Arabidopsis thaliana: one gene and its partner. The protein of the gene in region 1 interacts with the protein of each later gene in a pairwise test. Each region holds a gene or a part of one and is shown on either strand. Other genes may lie near its edges.

Region 1 (8,954 bases):
CTTTAATTCAATGATAAGCAGATCATCTCTTTCTTCACTCCTACACATCGATTCACGTCATCCACCCAGAAAAATTCATACTTCAATTAAAAATTCTGTAAGTGGAAAAAACACAGTTGGCAAAATGGGCAAAAGCTAATAATTGATTTATCTCCATTTATGGCTAAAAGCCTAACACTAGGCTCTACACTTTTCAAGTCTTTTCATTTTCTGGGTAATTGTTGTTCAATTTTAGAGATTTAGGGTTTTTGATTGTTCTTCTTTTTCTGGGTTTTATCTAAATTCGTGGATATGAGAATGGCATGTGCGTGAATGTGGCCTACTTTGTTTTCTTCCTTCTAATTTGGGAACAGAGTTTGGTTGTCCTATTTATTGTTACTTTGTAGGTTTCACTCTTTTCGACATTACTTTTCAATTGCTTCAGATTCATAAATCTATCTTCTTCTTTCTTTGGTTGTTCAGCTTTAGCGTGTTAGGCTGAACATTTAAGAACCATGGATCTCAATCTCGGAAAATGCTGTGGTTCTCGTTCTTCTAAGGTTTGTTGTCCATTTTCTTTTAGATTTGCTCAATTTTGGAATTTTGAGCTGAATAAAGATTGGAACTTTGACAATTATGCAGAAGGAATCATGGAGGTCGGTTTTGCTTCTTGCTTACCAGAGTCTTGGTGTTGTCTATGGAGACTTGAGTATCTCTCCGCTTTATGTCTTTAAGAGCACTTTTGCTGAGGACATTCAACATTCAGAGACCAATGAAGAGATCTACGGTGTTATGTCTTTTGTTTTCTGGACTTTAACTTTGGTTCCTTTGCTTAAGTATGTCTTCATTGTCCTCCGAGCTGATGATAACGGAGAAGGTGAGGGGAAGAGACACTTTCAGAGCAGAAAATCATCGAGAAACTTTATTTGCTTTGCTTATGAAGGTTTGTTACATTTGTTTTCAGGTGGAACTTTTGCTTTGTACTCATTGATCTGCCGTCATGTCAAAGTTAGCCTCCTCCCAAACCGACAAGTCTCTGATGAGGCACTGTCCACTTATAAGCTGGAGCATCCACCGGAGAAGAACCATGACTCGTGTGTGAAAAGATATCTGGAGAAACACAAGTGGTTACACACTGCTTTGCTGCTTCTTGTTCTTCTTGGGACTTGTATGGTTATTGGAGATGGACTTCTCACTCCAGCTATCTCCGGTATGTATGCTTCTGTGTTTGTAGACAGATATTCCAGTGTCCAATTGCTAGTTAAAAGAGTTTTCTAATCTTTTCTTTTTCTTGTATGTAGTTTTCTCTGCTGTGTCAGGTCTTGAGCTGAATATGTCTAAAGAACATCACCAATGTAAGTACACAAAGACTGGGTAGTGTTAGTTTTTGCTACTTGAGTTCTGATGAATGATGGCTTCCTTTGTTGTTCAAACGTGCAGATGCAGTAATTCCTATTACCTGCTTCATACTAGTCTGCCTTTTCTCGCTTCAGCATTTTGGGACACATCGTGTTGGGTTTGTTTTCGCGCCTATTGTCCTCACTTGGCTGCTCTGTATAAGTGGTATTGGCTTGTACAATATAATACAGTGGAATCCTCATATATACAAAGCTCTTTCTCCTACATACATGTTCATGTTCTTGAGAAAGACGAGAGTAAGCGGATGGATGTCTCTAGGCGGGATCTTGTTGTGCATAACTGGTGAGATATATAAGAAATCGATATTGTTAATGTCGCCATAAATAATGTCAGTAATCTAACTCGTTGAGTCTTTGTTTTAGGTGCTGAGGCCATGTTTGCTGATCTTGGTCACTTCAATTACGCAGCAATTCAGGTTAGTTTCTACTTTAGCTTGGATGATTTACTTATTGTTATATCGCCACAGGTTTCAATAAATCTTTGTTTTGTTTGCTGTAGATTGCGTTTACCTTCCTGGTTTATCCGGCTCTTATATTGGCATACATGGGGCAAGCTGCTTACTTATCCCGGCATCACCATTCTGCTCATGCAATTGGGTTTTACGTCTCTGTACCAAGTCAGTAATTTGCCTTACTTCAAGAACTCAATTTTTTTTTGGTGTTGATCATTGAAAACGTAATCTGATCTTTTGTTTATATAACTCCATGGTTTTGAACAGAATGTTTGCACTGGCCTGTGCTTGCTGTAGCAATTCTTGCTTCTGTTGTGGGAAGCCAAGCGATCATCAGTGGGACTTTCTCAATCATAAACCAGAGCCAGTCTCTCGGATGCTTCCCTCGAGTCAAAGTCATTCACACGTCCGATAAGATGCATGGTCAGATTTACATACCGGAGATTAACTGGATGCTCATGATTCTCTGCATCGCTGTTACTATCGGGTTTAGAGATGTCAAACACCTGGGAAATGCATCAGGTATGAGATTCTTTTATCAACTCAAGAATTTTGGATTCTTCGACTTTGAGATTATATTCCTTTGTGGTTGGTTGCAGGTTTGGCTGTAATGGCGGTTATGCTAGTGACAACATGTCTTACCTCATTAGTCATTGTTCTTTGCTGGCACAAGCCTCCAATTCTAGCGCTAGCGTTCCTTCTCTTTTTCGGTTCAATAGAACTTCTCTACTTCTCGGCCTCACTCACCAAATTTCGTGAAGGCGCTTGGCTTCCGATCCTCTTATCTCTAATATTCATGATCATCATGTTCGTTTGGCACTACACCACCATTAAGAAATACGAGTTTGATCTCCAGAATAAAGTCTCGCTTGAATGGCTTCTTGCATTGGGTCCAAGCCTCGGAATTTCTCGAGTTCCAGGTATCGGTTTAGTCTTCACGGATTTAACCTCTGGAATCCCCGCCAATTTCTCCCGGTTCGTCACCAACCTCCCTGCCTTCCACCGTGTTCTTGTCTTTGTCTGCGTGAAATCTGTCCCTGTCCCGTTCGTTCCACCTGCTGAGAGATACCTCGTGGGTCGTGTTGGTCCCGTTGACCACCGCTCTTACAGATGCATCGTTCGGTATGGATACCGTGACGTCCATCAAGACGTGGACTCATTCGAAACAGAGCTCGTAAGCAAGCTGGCGGATTTCATCCGTTACGATTGGCACAAAAGAACACAACAAGAAGACGACAACGCTCGTTCTGTCCAGTCCAACGAATCCTCAAGCGAGTCAAGACTAGCCGTGATCGGAACAGTAGCTTACGAGATCGAAGACAATCTCCAACCAGAGAGTGTCTCCATCGGATTCTCCACAGTCGAAAGCATGGAAGACGTCATACAAATGGCCGAACCAGCCCCAACCGCCACCATAAGACGGGTGAGGTTTGCGGTTGAGGAAAACAGTTACGAGGACGAAGGATCAACATCGTCAGCAGAAGCAGATGCGGAACTGAGAAGCGAGCTGAGGGATTTGCTGGCAGCGCAAGAAGCAGGAACTGCGTTTATATTGGGACATTCACATGTGAAAGCGAAACAAGGATCATCGGTGATGAAGAGATTAGCAGTTAATTTCGGTTATAATTTCTTGAGAAGGAACTGTAGAGGACCTGACGTGGCTCTTAAGGTTCCACCTGTTTCTCTTTTAGAAGTCGGCATGGTTTATGTTGTTTGACTTATGAAAAAACTAAATATATGAAAACCTAATTCCTCTGTTGTAAATTCGTCATGTTTAGCTTCATAGATCTCTGTTTCTGTGTTTGTGAGTCTGGGGTTTGACTTTTAACAAATCTTAAGACCAAGATGGTCAGAGGATCATATATGCCAAATGAATTAGTTTATTATACACATGAAACGACATCGTATGGAGAGGGGTCCAAAACGGTGCGTTGGAAGTTGGAGAATGGGCATGGATAATGGCGGGAATAACCTAGGAGATATGGCGGGAAAGGCCCAACTATACACACTTGACATTGCCCTTAATTCGTGTTTGAGCAAAGACTCAATCTTTCATCTCTAGATTCTTGGCGATTCTCGCTACATAGTACTTTGGTAAAGAGTGAAATCAAAGGTTGGTTTTGAGATATGGGAGGACCAGCTTACGATTGTCTGACCAACCCTTTAGGAGCCGTCCGATTCTCCTTCGTAAATGCTCTGTCTTCAGGCTACGATCCGGCTTCGTCTGTCGGAAAAGACTGGGGTGTCGTTGATTTGTTCCGTCACTACTTCTCCGACGAATCTGCTATCTCCCAGGTTTGCCCTAAAACCTTTACTCTGTTTCTATTTTTTTTTGGGTTTAGGGCAATTGAGTATGTTTTGATTAATTACTACCCAATTAGCATAATAGGTTGATTTTTTCGTGTACTTTGGCTCTGTTTCTAAGTAAATCAGCTTACTTTAGGTTTTAGTCTATCCATAGATTGGTTAATTTGGGTTTTTTCAAGGATCTGTTTTGAGATATTTTTCTTAATTAACCGATAGTGTTTTCTTTTGTCTACTAGGTTCCAATTCTTGATTCGTCAAGTATTAAGTGGGTGCAACCCAAGACTCTTGTTCGGTTTCGTGGAATGATACAGGACATGCTTGGGAATGAATTCTATGCTGGTGCTTACAAGGTAGGAATATGACTTTTGATGGTTTCTACTAAAGAAGAATTCAATCTTTATCTATCAGTAACTGTTTCTGTTTTTACGTTCTGTTTAGGATGATTCAACATGGAGAACAAACAAGTACAGTGATGTTTCACAGTTTCCTGAGGGTTCTTCCACTGAAATTCAAGTTTGGGAGCGTCGCTTGCTTTACTGTGTTCCAGTATGTTTTGTCTCATGCGGATCTTTCTTTTTTGTTGTTGGTCTCTCATATATGTTTAAACATAATAACACTTGATTGCAATGTTTAGGTTCCGGGAAAAAACCAGTGGACTGAATGTTCTTCACAAGAGCTAAAAAACCGGTTTTTGGATCTAACTGGCCAAAACAGGGAAAAGCGTGTGAGGGTGGATGAAGAAATGACTGATTCCATGGACTCCAGTGTAAGCAACTTAGGTTCTCATGTTTGCTTTATATGAAACTGATTTTGTTGTAGCAACATCTATTGGTGTTGTTTGTCAATAACTTATTTTAGCCACCATTGCAGACTTTAGAAGCTGGGCGTAATGGTTCTCCTTTTAAGAAAATGGTAAGGATCTCTAGTCTCTTAAGTCTTTCTTCAAAGTCTTTATGAGTCTAACACTATAAGCTACAAAGTTGTGGAAAAAACCATATATTATAAACTTTTCTTTACTGTTACTGGGAAGAATCATGAGACATTGAGATTTTGGCTGATGAAGAATTTCTGATTAATACTGTTTTTTATGTTCATCAGAAAGTGGGGGAAGCTACTTCATCAGCTTCAGAATCTCAGGTTCCACAAACTTCTGGTATTCCGCCTGCTACAAGTGCAGATTCTCTGCCTTGTCTTGTCAAGGTAAATATATGTTTACATTGTTCTTTATATTACCTGTTAACATGTGTATACAAAAGCAGCAAAGACTAGTCTGTTGACAAGATTCTTATGCGGCCACGCAGATCTATGATTCTCCAGAGTCAGATTTGAAGCTAAATGATGTGGTTGAATTTCTTGGAGTGTTGACCTTCGATCCAATTGTTATGATGGATACAGATACACTTGATGAAAACTCTGATGCTCTTTCTGAAGCTGAATCTGTTCAGATGCCCTCTGGAAAGGTCCCACGCCTCCATTGTCTTATCCATAGAAAGCTTGAAACACAGCATTTCCTGCATGGTTCTTCGTTATTACCAGAGGCAAGTATCATCGATTTAGAAAATATACCTCTCATACCTATTCGTGTTTTGAAATTTGTTTTAAATCTCTTGTTACTTTCCATTTAGCAGCCAAAATCCCCCCAAATATTCAAAGAGATAAGAGAGAGTTTGATGAAGTACCTTACCGGTCTACTTGGGAATGATCACATTGCCGCACAGTTCCTATTATTGCATCTCCTGTCAAAGGTAATTAGTTGAAAAAGGATCACTTGTTTTTATTCTCAGCTATTACTGCTACGGCCTTCTATATTCATATGTTTTTTTTCTCCTTTACAGGTGCATGGAAGAGTAGATAATGTTGCTGTTGGGAAGCTTTCTCTTAATCTCATACACCTTAATAAAGAAAGCATGTCTATCTTCGGTACCCAGCTCAGTGGTGCCCTCAAAAGCCTCCTACCGTTCACACAATCTATACCACTTACTATTGAGTATCTGAACACTGCCTCGTTCGGTCCCAAGAAAGACTATGGAATCAACAGGTAAGAATCCAGTTCTACGAAATCTTAACAATGGTTTTGAATCATTCTTCTCTTGAAAGACCTGCAATTATATTGTTTTTATGACTCAGATTGATGCCTGGAGTTCTACAAATTGCTGATGGTACGCACTTGATATTGGATGAAACAGAGTTGCAACCAGGCACCTTGAACTCTGTTGGAGTTGAGAATGCAAATCTGCTTAAAAACCTCTTGGAATGTCAGAAGGTAGGGCAACGTCATTATTCACTTTTAATCAGATTCAAATATGAATATGGAATCTGCTGCTATTTCAGGTTGAGTATGATTTCCAATATTACAAAATGGAAATGGCCACTGATGTTCAAATGCTCATATTCTCCGAGGGAAAGTCGAACATAATGCCCGCCGATTTGGTTCTACCTCTTCAACCTTCTCAAGTGAATTCATTGGAAGTCATCACACCAGAAACAGCTGAAACTTGGAGGTGCTACTTAGCTACTTGCAAATCATTATCACACTCCATTGGGCAAGAGTTGCAACAGGTATGTATATATCTATTGCATTAATGTTAGAATCTGCCAATCTGGTACTTCTAAAGAAATCCATTGTTTTCAGACTTTTGACTAATATTTTCTGCAAATTTTTGTTGCAGGTGGTGGAGAATGATTTGGTTGCAGCTAGACAAACAGATCGTAGTTTAGGCAGCCAAGACTTGAGCAGGTACAAAAGCCCTCCTTAGGGTTTATCCTTGTCAAATATGTGCAAAACTTACAATTATGTTGTTTGGTTCCACAGATTGTTGACAATGGCTCGTATGATGTCTGTGAGTTATGGTGAGACTACGCTTTCACTAGAGCACTGGCAAATGGTGTTGGAACTAGAAAGACTTAGAAAGGAGAGGCTCAAGTAAAACCACCGTAACGAACAAGATGTATTATGGTTTCGAGACTATTTGGATATTGTAATTTTCACTAAGTTATCTGAGTAAGAAGAACCATATCGTTTCATTTCCTATCTATTTATTAAGGTTCAACTTTTGAGCTATTGACTGGTAATGGAAAATGTTTGAGAAAGAAGAAAACTTGGAGACTTCAAACCCATTCCGGTTAATTTTCATCGTTGATCTGACATGGTAAATACTGAATAAAGCACATGCACACTGTGACACCTCTACTTTAAAAAGTACCAAATAGATAAACTGACTAGAAGATTATTTTCTTGTGATGCAAGTAAGAAACAAACTCAACCAATCGACCTTACTAAAGTATACTCTTCTATAAAATAAAGAAATTTCTTCTCCCCCGTATGTAAATTGAAATCACCAGATGGAAGTCTTGGTATAGAGATATATCGATCTGATAATCTTATCACGGAAGAAGACTTTGGTCTCGATTGCATATCTCTCACGTACGACTCTCGTTTGTATGAATAGAAAGAACAAAGACACACACAATTTAACGAGTTCCCAAGGTCAAACCGATCCTTGGTACATCTCGGCTAGGCTTTGCCATAGCAAATTCACTATCCAGTTTTTTTTTTCTTTTTTTTATACATATGTACACAAGAGAGATAGAGAGAGGATTAGGTCAAAAGAAGCTTCGAGAAACTTGGAATCAACGACCTAGATATCTCCTTGTTGTCTTCTGTTGTTGGCGATGGAAGTCCTTGTGTAATAAAAGGATGTTTCAAGAGCTCAGTCGCGGTGGGCCTGCGTGAACGCATGTCATCGCATCGCCTTAAGAAATCTTGAGCCTGCGGAGAGATAACGTCACGCAAATGCCATACGTAAAATTCGTCAAAGTACTCCTGGATAGGTATAGCTCCAAACATCTCATTAACCACACACCCTAGAGAATATATATCAAGGGCTGGATCGATATGTCCCGGATCGATCAGTCCGTTTGGTACAAAAGAGTCCGGGGGCATGTACTCAACAGTACCAAGGGACGTAGGATCATGATCGGTGTCAGGCTCTTTGGATGAACCGAAATCAGCAAGCTTGAGATCCCACGGCTCTCCAGGAGTTGTGGAAGGGAAGAGGAGAACGTTGGATGGCTTGAGGTCGCAGTAAACGTAACCATGGGAGTGAAGAGCCTCGAGTCCTTCTAGGATCATACGAGCCGTGCGACTGACCAAAGACTCAGGTATCGGCTCTTCTTTCCGACGGAAACCATATATAAACCTATGGAGATTACCTTTGGAGGCGTACTCCATATAGATGTAGCAATATTCGTAGGGTTGGATTTGTAAGTGAAGCTTGTTTGAGGCTTGGACGATGCGAGGATGATCACGGAAACGATGCATGATCCTGAGCTCCTTCTCGAGAATCTTTTTGAGATGCATCGGCGATGACTTCTTTGCGTAAAGTCGGGAGTTGGAGTCCTTCTCGAGAGAGACGTAACCGAAGTTCCCTCGGCCAAGAGAAGAGAGCTTCGTCAACGAAGACTCGTCCACAATCCAATCATCATCTCTGCAAATTTGTTCCATCATCATAGTGAAGCTTTTACGTATTCGATTGTCTTTAGGTTTTCATCAGTCTCTCTATACCTATATATATATATTTTCTGTAGGTCGGTGCGTGGTTCGTTTTTTCAGTTGGAGCTAGGACAGATTTTCCTTTTCCAATTAAGAATCTGAAATATCGTATACACGCTTTAGTTAAACTATATCCTCAACTTATTTAATATTTATATTATTTAATGCTAAAAATGAAAATTTATTATAAATTACAAATTCTAAATGTTAAAAGATTTACACTATTATTTATTCAAAATGTGTATA
Region 2 (9,601 bases), about 13 Mb from region 1:
CCCCTTATTCTCTTCACCTTAAATCAAGTAGCATGGTTAAGAAATGGTTTTGACGGAATCATCTCGTCCATCGAATTGAAAGGTAAAGTTAATCTCTTTTAATCTTGACCGTCAAATTTAAATAAATAAAACATATTTTCTCTATCTATCACTTTCTTATCTTTCTTGTCAATTTCTTCTCTCTCTTCCTTTTGTTATTTAATTTTTATTTAATTTAAGACATTCTCTATTTGATTAAAAATCATTTTTTATAAAATATATAATAATAACATTTTTTCCTTCATGAAATCCATATTACTATATTTATTCATACTATTATTTATTGTATCATCAAAACATAAACAGATTCAGAAAACAAAAAATCCATATGATTTAATCCATTTGGACAACAATGAAATATATAATCTTTAATGAGAACCATATAACCATAAACTCTAAAATCATTATAAACAATCATAGTTCCTTAACACTAAATTCTAAACCCTAAACATTAGATATTAAACTCTATACATTAAACCCTAACTTCTATATCTAAACCCTAAACCCTAAACTTTAACCCATAAACACTAAGCCCTTAACCATATACGTATACCCTATACCATATACCATATACCATAAACCCTAAATCCCAAACCTTCTTAATGTTGCCCATAAATATTAAGCTTAAACCTCTTATCCCTAAACCCTAAACCCTAAACCCTAAACTTTAAACCCTAAACGCTAAACCCTAAACTCTAAACCTTAAACACCTAAACCATAAACCCTAAACTTTAAACCATAGACACTAAGCCCTTAACCATAGAAATATATCATATACCATTTACCATATAAACCCTAAATTTTAAACCTTCTTATTATTGCTTATAAATATTAAGCATAAATCCCCTAAACATAAACCAATTGAGAACATAAAAAATTCATATGATTTAATTCATATGATCAAAATGGAAATATATAATCTAACAAGAAGCATATAACCCTAAACCCAAAAATAATTGTATATGACCATGGTCAATTAACCCTAAACCTTATACCATCTACAATAAACTCTATAATCATTGTAAACAATCATAGTTCCTTAACACTAAATCTAAAACCCTAAACACTAGATACTAAACTCTAAACATTAAACCCTAACCCCTAAATTTATACCCGAAACCCTAAACCCTAAATCTTAAATCCTAAATCCTAAATCCTAAATCCTAAACCCTAAACCCCTAAACCCTAAACCCTAAACCCTAAACTCTAAACCCTTGATATTAAACCCTAAACCTGTTAAACCATAAAGACTAAACCCTTAACAATATACATATACCATATCACGTATACCCTAAACCCTAAACCCTAAATTCTAAGATCTTCACTTTAAAACTTCTTGTTGTTGTCCATAAATATTAAACATAAATCCCCTAAATATAAACAAATTGAGATAGAAAATCCATATTATCCAATCCATATGGACAACAATGGAATATATAATCTCCAATGAGAAACATGTAACCATAAACCCTAAATCATTGTAGACAACTTTGATTCTTCAACCCAAAACCCTAAATCATCTAAACTAAACGCGAAATCCTAAACAATAAAGCCTAAATCCTAAAATGTAAACACTAGATACTAAATCTTAAACCCTAGACATTAAACCCTAGCCCTTGACTTTAAAGCCTAAACCCTAAAACCTAAGTTTTATATGTACATAATCTATAACCACCACTTTTGATCCATGATAATCTAAAGCACGCTTCTTAACCTGAAAACGTAAAATATTATTGAGATCGATGTGTTCATACACAATCTTACGATATACACTCGTATTTATGTTTTGTTAATATGTAATCGTGGATAAATAAATATAAACATTTTCATAAATAAACTTTTGTTGATATGACCAACAAAACTTGTTTCATCACATTTTATCAACATCTTTTACATAACGTAACACTGGTTTTATGAATAGTATTAACAAAACACAATCATTTTGAATTATCGACCGTCAACACACATCCACCAAACTCTGACCATGTGGTCATTTCAAATTATCGCCTATCACTCTTCTTTGATTTGTTTTGTATTTTTTCCATTTTTTCATTATTTGCTCATGTGTTTTAATGAAAATAGCATCAAACTACCTTTAAGTTACAAATTTATAGTAAGAATATATGTTTGGGTTCTTTAATTCAACTCTCTCTCTCTCTTTGAGGAATTTCCACAAATATTTGGTGGCCAAATCTAAGATTTGTAAAAAGACAAAAATTTGACCAAGACAATGATGGATACACTAAGAGAAGAAGAAACCTAGCAATTAAAAATGAAAATTTTAACCTTATGAGGTTGATTAAAGAATGAGAAACTGAATAAAAATCTTGAAAATTTCCAACTTTTAAGATCTAAGAAGAGAAAGAAAAAAGAAAAATCTAGATCTACTTTTTGGTGTTTTTGATGAGAGAGAAGAGAGATAATGTCTCAAACCATTTCCTTTTTTCATTAAGATATTTTAAGTGTTTTGTGTGTTTAATTTTGTAAAGAGTAGAGAAAAAAATGAATGAAAAGAGAGAAAAAGTAATGGTTGTAAATTATGGTAAGTTTGGATTGCTTAGGTTGGGTTGATGGTGTAGTAGTAAAAAAACTTTAAAAAGTGTTTACTCTTTCTAAAGTGCTTTATTGCGTAATTGAGTTTCAAAAAAGTGTCCAATTACCTAATATTCTCAAAAACATTTATCATGTTAATGACATTTCTGTAATTAACGTAAATGAGAAGGATATATATGGTTGATTTTTCTTTTCTTTTTTATAGTTACTTAATTTTCAAATTATTAATGTTATAAAACTAAAAACTATTCTTTTAAACATATATATTAATATAGCCTTAAATTTTAAGTGACATTGAAGAAAATTACGATGGAATTGAAAATGCTTACAACGATATTAAGTAGCTTAAAAATATGAAATTCTAAAATGTGCAATTCATAAATTTAAGATTCCTAGATGTAGTCCATAATTATATTTTTATCTGTTTGGTTTTTTATAATAAATTAGAAAAAATGGATAAAAAATGTAACCTTAGCTAAAAAGAAAAAGAAAGAAAGACCCAATAACCAACGAAATCCATTTACCCGTCCATAGGTCTTGGGTTCGGCCCATCAGTTTCCCGCCACATTGTTCCCGCCAAAACTCATAGTCGACATAAAGCCCTTGCCCCCACTCTCTCTCTTCGTTTAGAACTTTTTGATAAGAGAGAAAGAGATAGAGAAATTCGTAACGGAGACGAAGCAACGATGTCAGGATGGGACGAAGGAGCAGTTTACTACAGCGACCAGCCGCAGTTCCCGGAGGCCGGAGACGCCGCAACCATCAGTCCCCACGCCGTCTTAACCAAATTTAAGGAATTCATTCGAAACTTCGAGATCGAACAGAATTGTTTCCCCTACAGAGAAGCTCTCCTCGATAACCCTAAGCGACTTGTTGTCCACCTCGAAGATCTCCTCTCCTTTGATTCCGATCTCCCCTCCTTAATCCGATCTGCTCCTGCCGATTATCTCCCTGTGGTATGACTTCAAAAAAAATTAGGGTTCATATAAGCTTTGTATTGAGTGAGTCAATCTTTGAATTGTAGTTTGAGAAAGCAGCTGGTGAAGTGTTGACTGGATTGAAAATGAGGGAGGCTAATGAGGGAGGGGTAATGGAGGAACCTCTGACTAGAGATGTGCAGATTTTGCTCACTTCAAGAGAGGATCCAGTATCAATGAGATTACTTGGGGTATGTCTGTTTTTTTGTTTTTAGTATCAATGAGATTACTTGGGGTATGTCTATAATGTACTCTTTACTCTTGATAGGCACAGTACATCTCAAAGTTGGTGAAAATCTCTGGGATTAGTATTGCAGCTTCGAGAGTGAAAGCAAAGGCGACTTATGTGTTTTTGGTATGTAAGAATTGTAAAAAGACAAGGGAAGTTCCATGTCGTCCGGGTCTTGGTGGGGCAATTGTTCCTCGATCATGTGATAATATTCCACAGGTGAGTTCTTTTGATTCGTTTGTGATTTGAGTTTGTAGTTATCCTTGGTGTTGATTAGACCAAATTGGAATTTGTTTAGCCTGGAGAGGAGCCTTGCCCTCTTGATCCTTGGATGGTGGTTCCTGATAGGAGCCAGTATGTTGATCAACAGACCTTAAAGCTACAGGAGAATCCGGAGGTATAGATTTACATTGTAATGTTTTCGCTTTTTTTGCACTTGTATATATTAAATGCTTCTGAGTTTTGAAGGATGTTCCTACTGGAGAGCTTCCAAGAAATATGCTTCTCTCAGTTGATCGGCATCTTGTACAAACAATTGTACCTGGAACCAGACTGACAGTAATGGGTATCTACAGCATTTTCCAAGCTTCGTCATCATCTAACTCGTAAGCTTTGTAGTTTTATGTCAAATGAGAGTGTAGATTGTTTTCTGGGAGAGTTACACCACAACAATGATGGACATCTTTTCCTACTTTCTGATGTAGGCATAAAGGAGCAGTTGCAATTCGCCAGCCTTATATCCGAGTTGTTGGACTGGAAGACACAAATGAGGCCAGTTCCCGTGGCCCTGCCAACTTCACTCCTGACGAAGTTAGTATCGCATCATTTGGTTCTTTTTGTTTTCTCATTTGATAGCCTATGTCATCCATGGTTTCACAATGAACTATTGAAGTTAACATGGCTGAATTATTGTTACTGGAAACCAAATGCCTTAGGTAGCTGTTGGCTCTATGAAATTCTTTGTGTAACTCCCAAATGAATGTGATGGTGTTTTCTGGAAATATTCTCTGTGCTACTAGTTTACTATGAAACATTTAGGCCTGCTTGGAAGCCTAGTTGTACAATTCCATTTATCAGTTTTGTCTTCCATAATATTACTTTTAGGAGGAAGAATTCAAAAAGTTTGCTGATAGTCAAGATGTATACAAGAACATTTGCACCAAGATCGCTCCTTCTATATTTGGCCATGAGGATGTGAAGAGAGCAGCTGCGTGTCTTCTCTTTGGAGGATCCAGGAAGGTAGGAAACTGTGATAGCAGTTTTTATTTTCTGTGCACTTTGTATACGTTTTTGATATATTTATATACATTTCTATCTTTGATTCAGAGCCTGCCCGATGGAGTGAAACTAAGAGGTGATATTAATGTTTTGCTTTTGGGAGACCCATCAACTGCAAAATCACAGGTTTGTAATGTGGTCTCAGTATCAATGGTTTATAATAAGTGTGTTATTCTTTTTATATTTTCTTACGTCTCTCTTATTTGCTTGATATTCGTCTTACATCCTTCTGTTCAAGTGTTAGATTACAATCCTTACAAAATGTCTGTGTTATTTCCAACACCTGTAGCTTACATGTTTAAAGCTTAATTGCTTATTTTTTTTCTCTCTAGTTTCTTAAGTTTGTGGAGAAGACGGCTCCAATTGCTGTTTATACATCTGGAAAGGGTTCATCGGCTGCTGGGCTCACAGCTTCGGTGATTCGAGATAGCAGCACTGTATGTCCTATCTTCAAGTGTTTTTCTATGATTTGTTTAAAAGTAGTTGCTATGACAGATTCTCAGTTATTTATACATATGTTCATTGCAGCGAGAGTTCTATCTTGAAGGTGGTGCTATGGTTTTGGCTGATGGAGGTGTTGTGTGTATTGATGAATTTGACAAGATGAGACCGGAAGATAGGTAATTCAAATCTGAATCATAGTGTTGACGAATCTAATTTTTCTCTATGAGTAGAATTGATGGAATGTTTTTTTTTTCTTTATAGGGTTGCTATTCATGAGGCAATGGAGCAGCAGACAATCTCCATTGCAAAAGCTGGGATAACAACTGTCCTTAATTCTAGAACCTCGGTGCTTGCTGCTGCTAACCCGCCATCTGGTCGATATGATGACCTTAAGGTTTGAAATCTGGTACTCTCCTTTGGCAATATCATGGTTTTCCCGATTCTTGTTTGCAATATTCTTAAGAGATGGGTGTGTTTTTTTTTCTTTGGATTTGCAGACTGCTCAGGACAATATCGATCTGCAGACAACAATTCTTTCTAGATTTGATCTTATCTTCATTGTCAAGGACATCAGGAAGTATTCCCAAGACAAGGTAAGCAAGGAAAGGAACAATTCTTTCAGAAATTTTATGTAGTTAAAAGGGAAAACAGAGATTAATGATGGAGGTCACTGTTATTGGAAAGTTTGCTTCGTTGCTTGCTTATTATGTAGACATGATTAATGTTTATAATCTTTTCACAGGAAATAGCCAGCCATATTATAAGGGTTCATGCATCTGCAAACAAATTTTCGGATGAAAACACAGATTCTAAAGAAGATAATTGGCTCAAAAGGTGTGTTTTCATTCGTCGAGAAAACAATGTGTTCTCGCAGTTTTCTGTACAAAATCATGACTCTAAAATATAATGCTCTTTTTATGTTAGGTATATACAATACTGTCGAGCAAGGTGTCATCCCCGTCTCTCAAAAGACGCTGCTGAGAACCTGCAGCGGAAATATGTCACAATCAGAATGGTAATTGTCATTTACATTAGATTTGACAATAAGATGGTTAAAAAACAAAGTTGGTGTCAGTATAAAATTTTCGGCTAAACAGGATATGAAGAGACGTGCACATGAAACAGGAGAGGCTGCTCCGATACCTATCACAGTGAGACAACTCGAAGCTATTGTCAGACTGAGTGAGTCACTTGCAAAAATGAGACTGTAAGTAATCTTATTAACATAGAGATTCCTGATTCCTGAAACCTGATGGGATGTGCCGTCCATTGACATTGTTAAATATGTCAGGTCACACGAGGCCACACCAGATGATGTAGACAAAGCTTTTAAACTTTTTGATACCTCGACAATGGATGCAGCAAGATCAGGGATAAATCAACAGATAAACATAACAGGCGAGATGGCCAATGAAATCAAGGTTAGTTGCTTGTGGGGAAGAAAGAATCATCGTATCTCTAGATGTAATAACTAAATTTGGTATTGGTGTGAAAAAACAGCAAGCGGAAACACAGATAAAGAGAAGAATGGGGATCGGAGCTCGATTATCAGAGAGAAGACTGATAGAGGATCTGGCTAGAATGGGAATGAACGATTCAATGGTACCTAAGCTAACATCTTTGTTGTTTAATTTTCAGTAATGTGAATGGGATTTTTGAGGTAATGTGCATGTTAAAATGGCAGGTGAGGAGAGCTTTGTTGATAATGCACCAGAGAGGTGAAGTTGAGTACCAGCGAGAGAGACGTTCTATTGTCCGCAAAGCTTGATCGTCTAGGCATGCAATCTCTCTTCTTTAGTAGCAGCGATGACCAAACAAAACAAAATATTTAATATTATCAAGTTAATTTGTAGGCAAAAAGTAGAAAGAGAAGCTTATGTCATGTGTATTTGATGAAGATTCTTAGTAAACTTTTACGCTTGCTTCAAACTAATGTATTCTCCACCTTTGTTGTCCTTAGTTAAAATGTCACGCCAATGTTAGGAAAGCGTTTGAAGATTGCTGAATGGTATAATCTAGTGCCGATAGTTAAAGTAAAGATGCAGATAGAATAGTTGATAAAGTAAAAGTGTAATCTGAACGTATATGTAAATTAAAATTTTCTTAATGTTGTTATTAGTAGAATGTTGTTACCTTGAAAAAAAAATGAAATAAATAACCATGGTTGAACTTGACTCAAAATGTTCTTCTTTTAAACTGGTTCGGGTTACAAAACTAGTATGTTGTTGAATTTTGAACTGGTTCTGAAGCTCCCGGAATCTCTCAATTTCATTTTGTTCTTGTGTTGTTGAGAGATAATTGCTTCTCTATTTAACATATTTTTGGCCAATTACTTTACTCTATCATGCATAGCTTGGGAAACTCATGGCTAAAGCTGTTTTAAGTTGCAATGAAGAATCAATTCCTTCTGAACTAACTTCTTGGAAGAAAAACAGACAATAAGAGTACCATTGTTTACTTCTCAGTTCTCAATCACCATCGAATTAGATAGATATTTATGAATTTGGATTAGGCAAGTCCATGAAGACTCATTTATTATGGAAAACTGAGCATATAAATGAGCTACTACAGTTGAAACTAGTTTTTCTTAATTTCCATGACAAGATAATTATAGCAGAGATCAGAAGTTACAAGTGATCAGATTCTAACAACATTTCACTGAGAAGCTCTGACAAAGCTTGAAAAAGTTGAGGAGTCATCTTGCAAAAGATGTTGTGGTTTTCCTTGTTCAACAAGAATTCCACGATCAAGAATTAGGATGCTGTCTAAATCAACAACCGTAGAAATGCGGTGAGCAATGGTAATGACGGTTACGCCTTTGCATTCACTCGATATCGTGTTGTGGAGTAGGGAAGCTGTGTGAACATCGATGTTGGCGGTGCATTCATCAAGGCATAGGATCTTAGATGACTTGAGCAAAGCACGAGCAAGGCACAAAAGCTGTCTCTGTCCAACAGAAAAGGAACAACCAGATTCCTTTACATATGAATCTAACCCTCCTACACTTTCTACCGCTGCCTTAACTTTACACTTGTCTAGGATCTCCCAGATTCTCCAATCCTCACTCAACCCAAGAGGATCAAGGTTATCCCTACGAGAACCACAACTTTTTTTCATTATGAAACTGCAGGCAACACCTTTGGTTAGTGAATTGAAGGAGTTAAGTTCTCACCTCAGTGATCCTTGAAACAGAAAAGGGCTCTGAGGAACAACAGCGAGGCAAGAACGGAGTTCTCTTATCGGAAGATGGCTTATGTTTTTTCCATCCACCAATATCTCTCCACTACAAACAGGAGTAAGCCGGAAAAGCGCATTCAAGATCGAGGACTTCCCGGCACCAGTTCTTCCAATTACTCCTACCTGATAAATGAAAACAAAACAATCATGAGACAGAAAAAGTCAATTCTGTTGTAGAGTGCTCTCTCTAGCGGATAGTCTCTTCCCGATAACTTCATATAAATTGTATATGTTGGGAGAAAAGATAAAAACAGAAAAAGTCAAGTCTGTTGTAGAGTGCTCGGCGATACACGTACATGCATTCCTCCTTGGATTGTAAAAGAAATTTGGGTGAGGGCCGGAGGCAGAGTTGAGATGTATCTCATTGTCACATTGTGAAACTCAACTAATCCGTGAACAGGCCACTTATCGCTGAGAGATTGAGGACCTGAAACTTCTTCTTGAGGCACATCCATGTACTAATAACACAGGAGAGCATGGTTCATGTAATTAGTAACACTAACATACAAAAATTACTTAATGAATCAGAATCATTATCTTTATCTTTGATTTCTCGTAGTGCGAATGTAGAAGTGGATAATTTGGCACGACGAATTTGTACCGAACCACATCATATCATATATGTAAACAACATTCCTCAGGAATGGCTCTTTTGAGCTGCAATTAATTTCGGTTGACAAACCAAAAAAAGAATCAGAATCATTACCTGGAGAACCCTTTCAACAGAAACCATTTCTTTTTCTGTTTCAGTAAAACTTGTTAACAAGCTTCCTAACAGAGAAACCAATGGAGCTGCATATGAGAGCGCTAATCCCACCTGTGATCCAAATTATAAATAGTATGC

What was found.
Region 2: the proteins of ETG1 (region 1) and MCM5 interact in binary tests that used the Arabidopsis thaliana proteins (3 or more experiments, as listed by UniProt).

What each region holds. Positions count from the first base shown.
Region 1 is NC_003071.7:16,930,951-16,939,904, forward strand, and holds ETG1 (E2F target protein 1 (ETG1)), read left to right. Parts: upstream 1-3,670; 5' UTR 3,671-3,976; coding exon 3,977-4,144; intron 4,145-4,392; coding exon 4,393-4,506; intron 4,507-4,594; coding exon 4,595-4,702; intron 4,703-4,790; coding exon 4,791-4,922; intron 4,923-5,026; coding exon 5,027-5,068; intron 5,069-5,254; coding exon 5,255-5,356; intron 5,357-5,457; coding exon 5,458-5,694; intron 5,695-5,784; coding exon 5,785-5,901; intron 5,902-5,991; coding exon 5,992-6,194; intron 6,195-6,283; coding exon 6,284-6,419; intron 6,420-6,487; coding exon 6,488-6,715; intron 6,716-6,825; coding exon 6,826-6,893; intron 6,894-6,968; coding exon 6,969-7,083; 3' UTR 7,084-7,322; downstream 7,323-8,954. Other genes in the region: KT2 (potassium transporter 2), read left to right, coding at 495-539, 622-856, 944-1,189, 1,281-1,334, 1,420-1,680, 1,761-1,813, 1,897-2,014, 2,117-2,371 and 1 more; AT2G40560 (Protein kinase superfamily protein), read right to left, coding at 7,755-8,666. UniProt on the Arabidopsis thaliana protein: Associated component of the MCM complex that acts as a regulator of DNA replication. Binds to the MCM complex during late S phase and may act by promoting the disassembly of the MCM complex from chromatin. Required for sister chromatid cohesion.
Region 2 is NC_003071.7:3,521,066-3,530,666, reverse strand, and holds MCM5 (Minichromosome maintenance (MCM2/3/5) family protein), read left to right. Parts: upstream 1-3,166; 5' UTR 3,167-3,278; coding exon 3,279-3,548; intron 3,549-3,616; coding exon 3,617-3,760; intron 3,761-3,837; coding exon 3,838-4,017; intron 4,018-4,096; coding exon 4,097-4,195; intron 4,196-4,266; coding exon 4,267-4,403; intron 4,404-4,502; coding exon 4,503-4,608; intron 4,609-4,902; coding exon 4,903-5,037; intron 5,038-5,124; coding exon 5,125-5,202; intron 5,203-5,408; coding exon 5,409-5,513; intron 5,514-5,604; coding exon 5,605-5,696; intron 5,697-5,781; coding exon 5,782-5,914; intron 5,915-6,017; coding exon 6,018-6,113; intron 6,114-6,262; coding exon 6,263-6,354; intron 6,355-6,444; coding exon 6,445-6,535; intron 6,536-6,617; coding exon 6,618-6,727; intron 6,728-6,811; coding exon 6,812-6,941; intron 6,942-7,020; coding exon 7,021-7,122; intron 7,123-7,204; coding exon 7,205-7,288; 3' UTR 7,289-7,683; downstream 7,684-9,601. Other genes in the region: ABCC13 (multidrug resistance-associated protein 11), read right to left, coding at 8,176-8,611, 8,693-8,880, 9,054-9,215, 9,464-9,574. UniProt on the Arabidopsis thaliana protein: Probable component of the MCM2-7 complex (MCM complex) that may function as a DNA helicase and which is essential to undergo a single round of replication initiation and elongation per cell cycle in eukaryotic cells.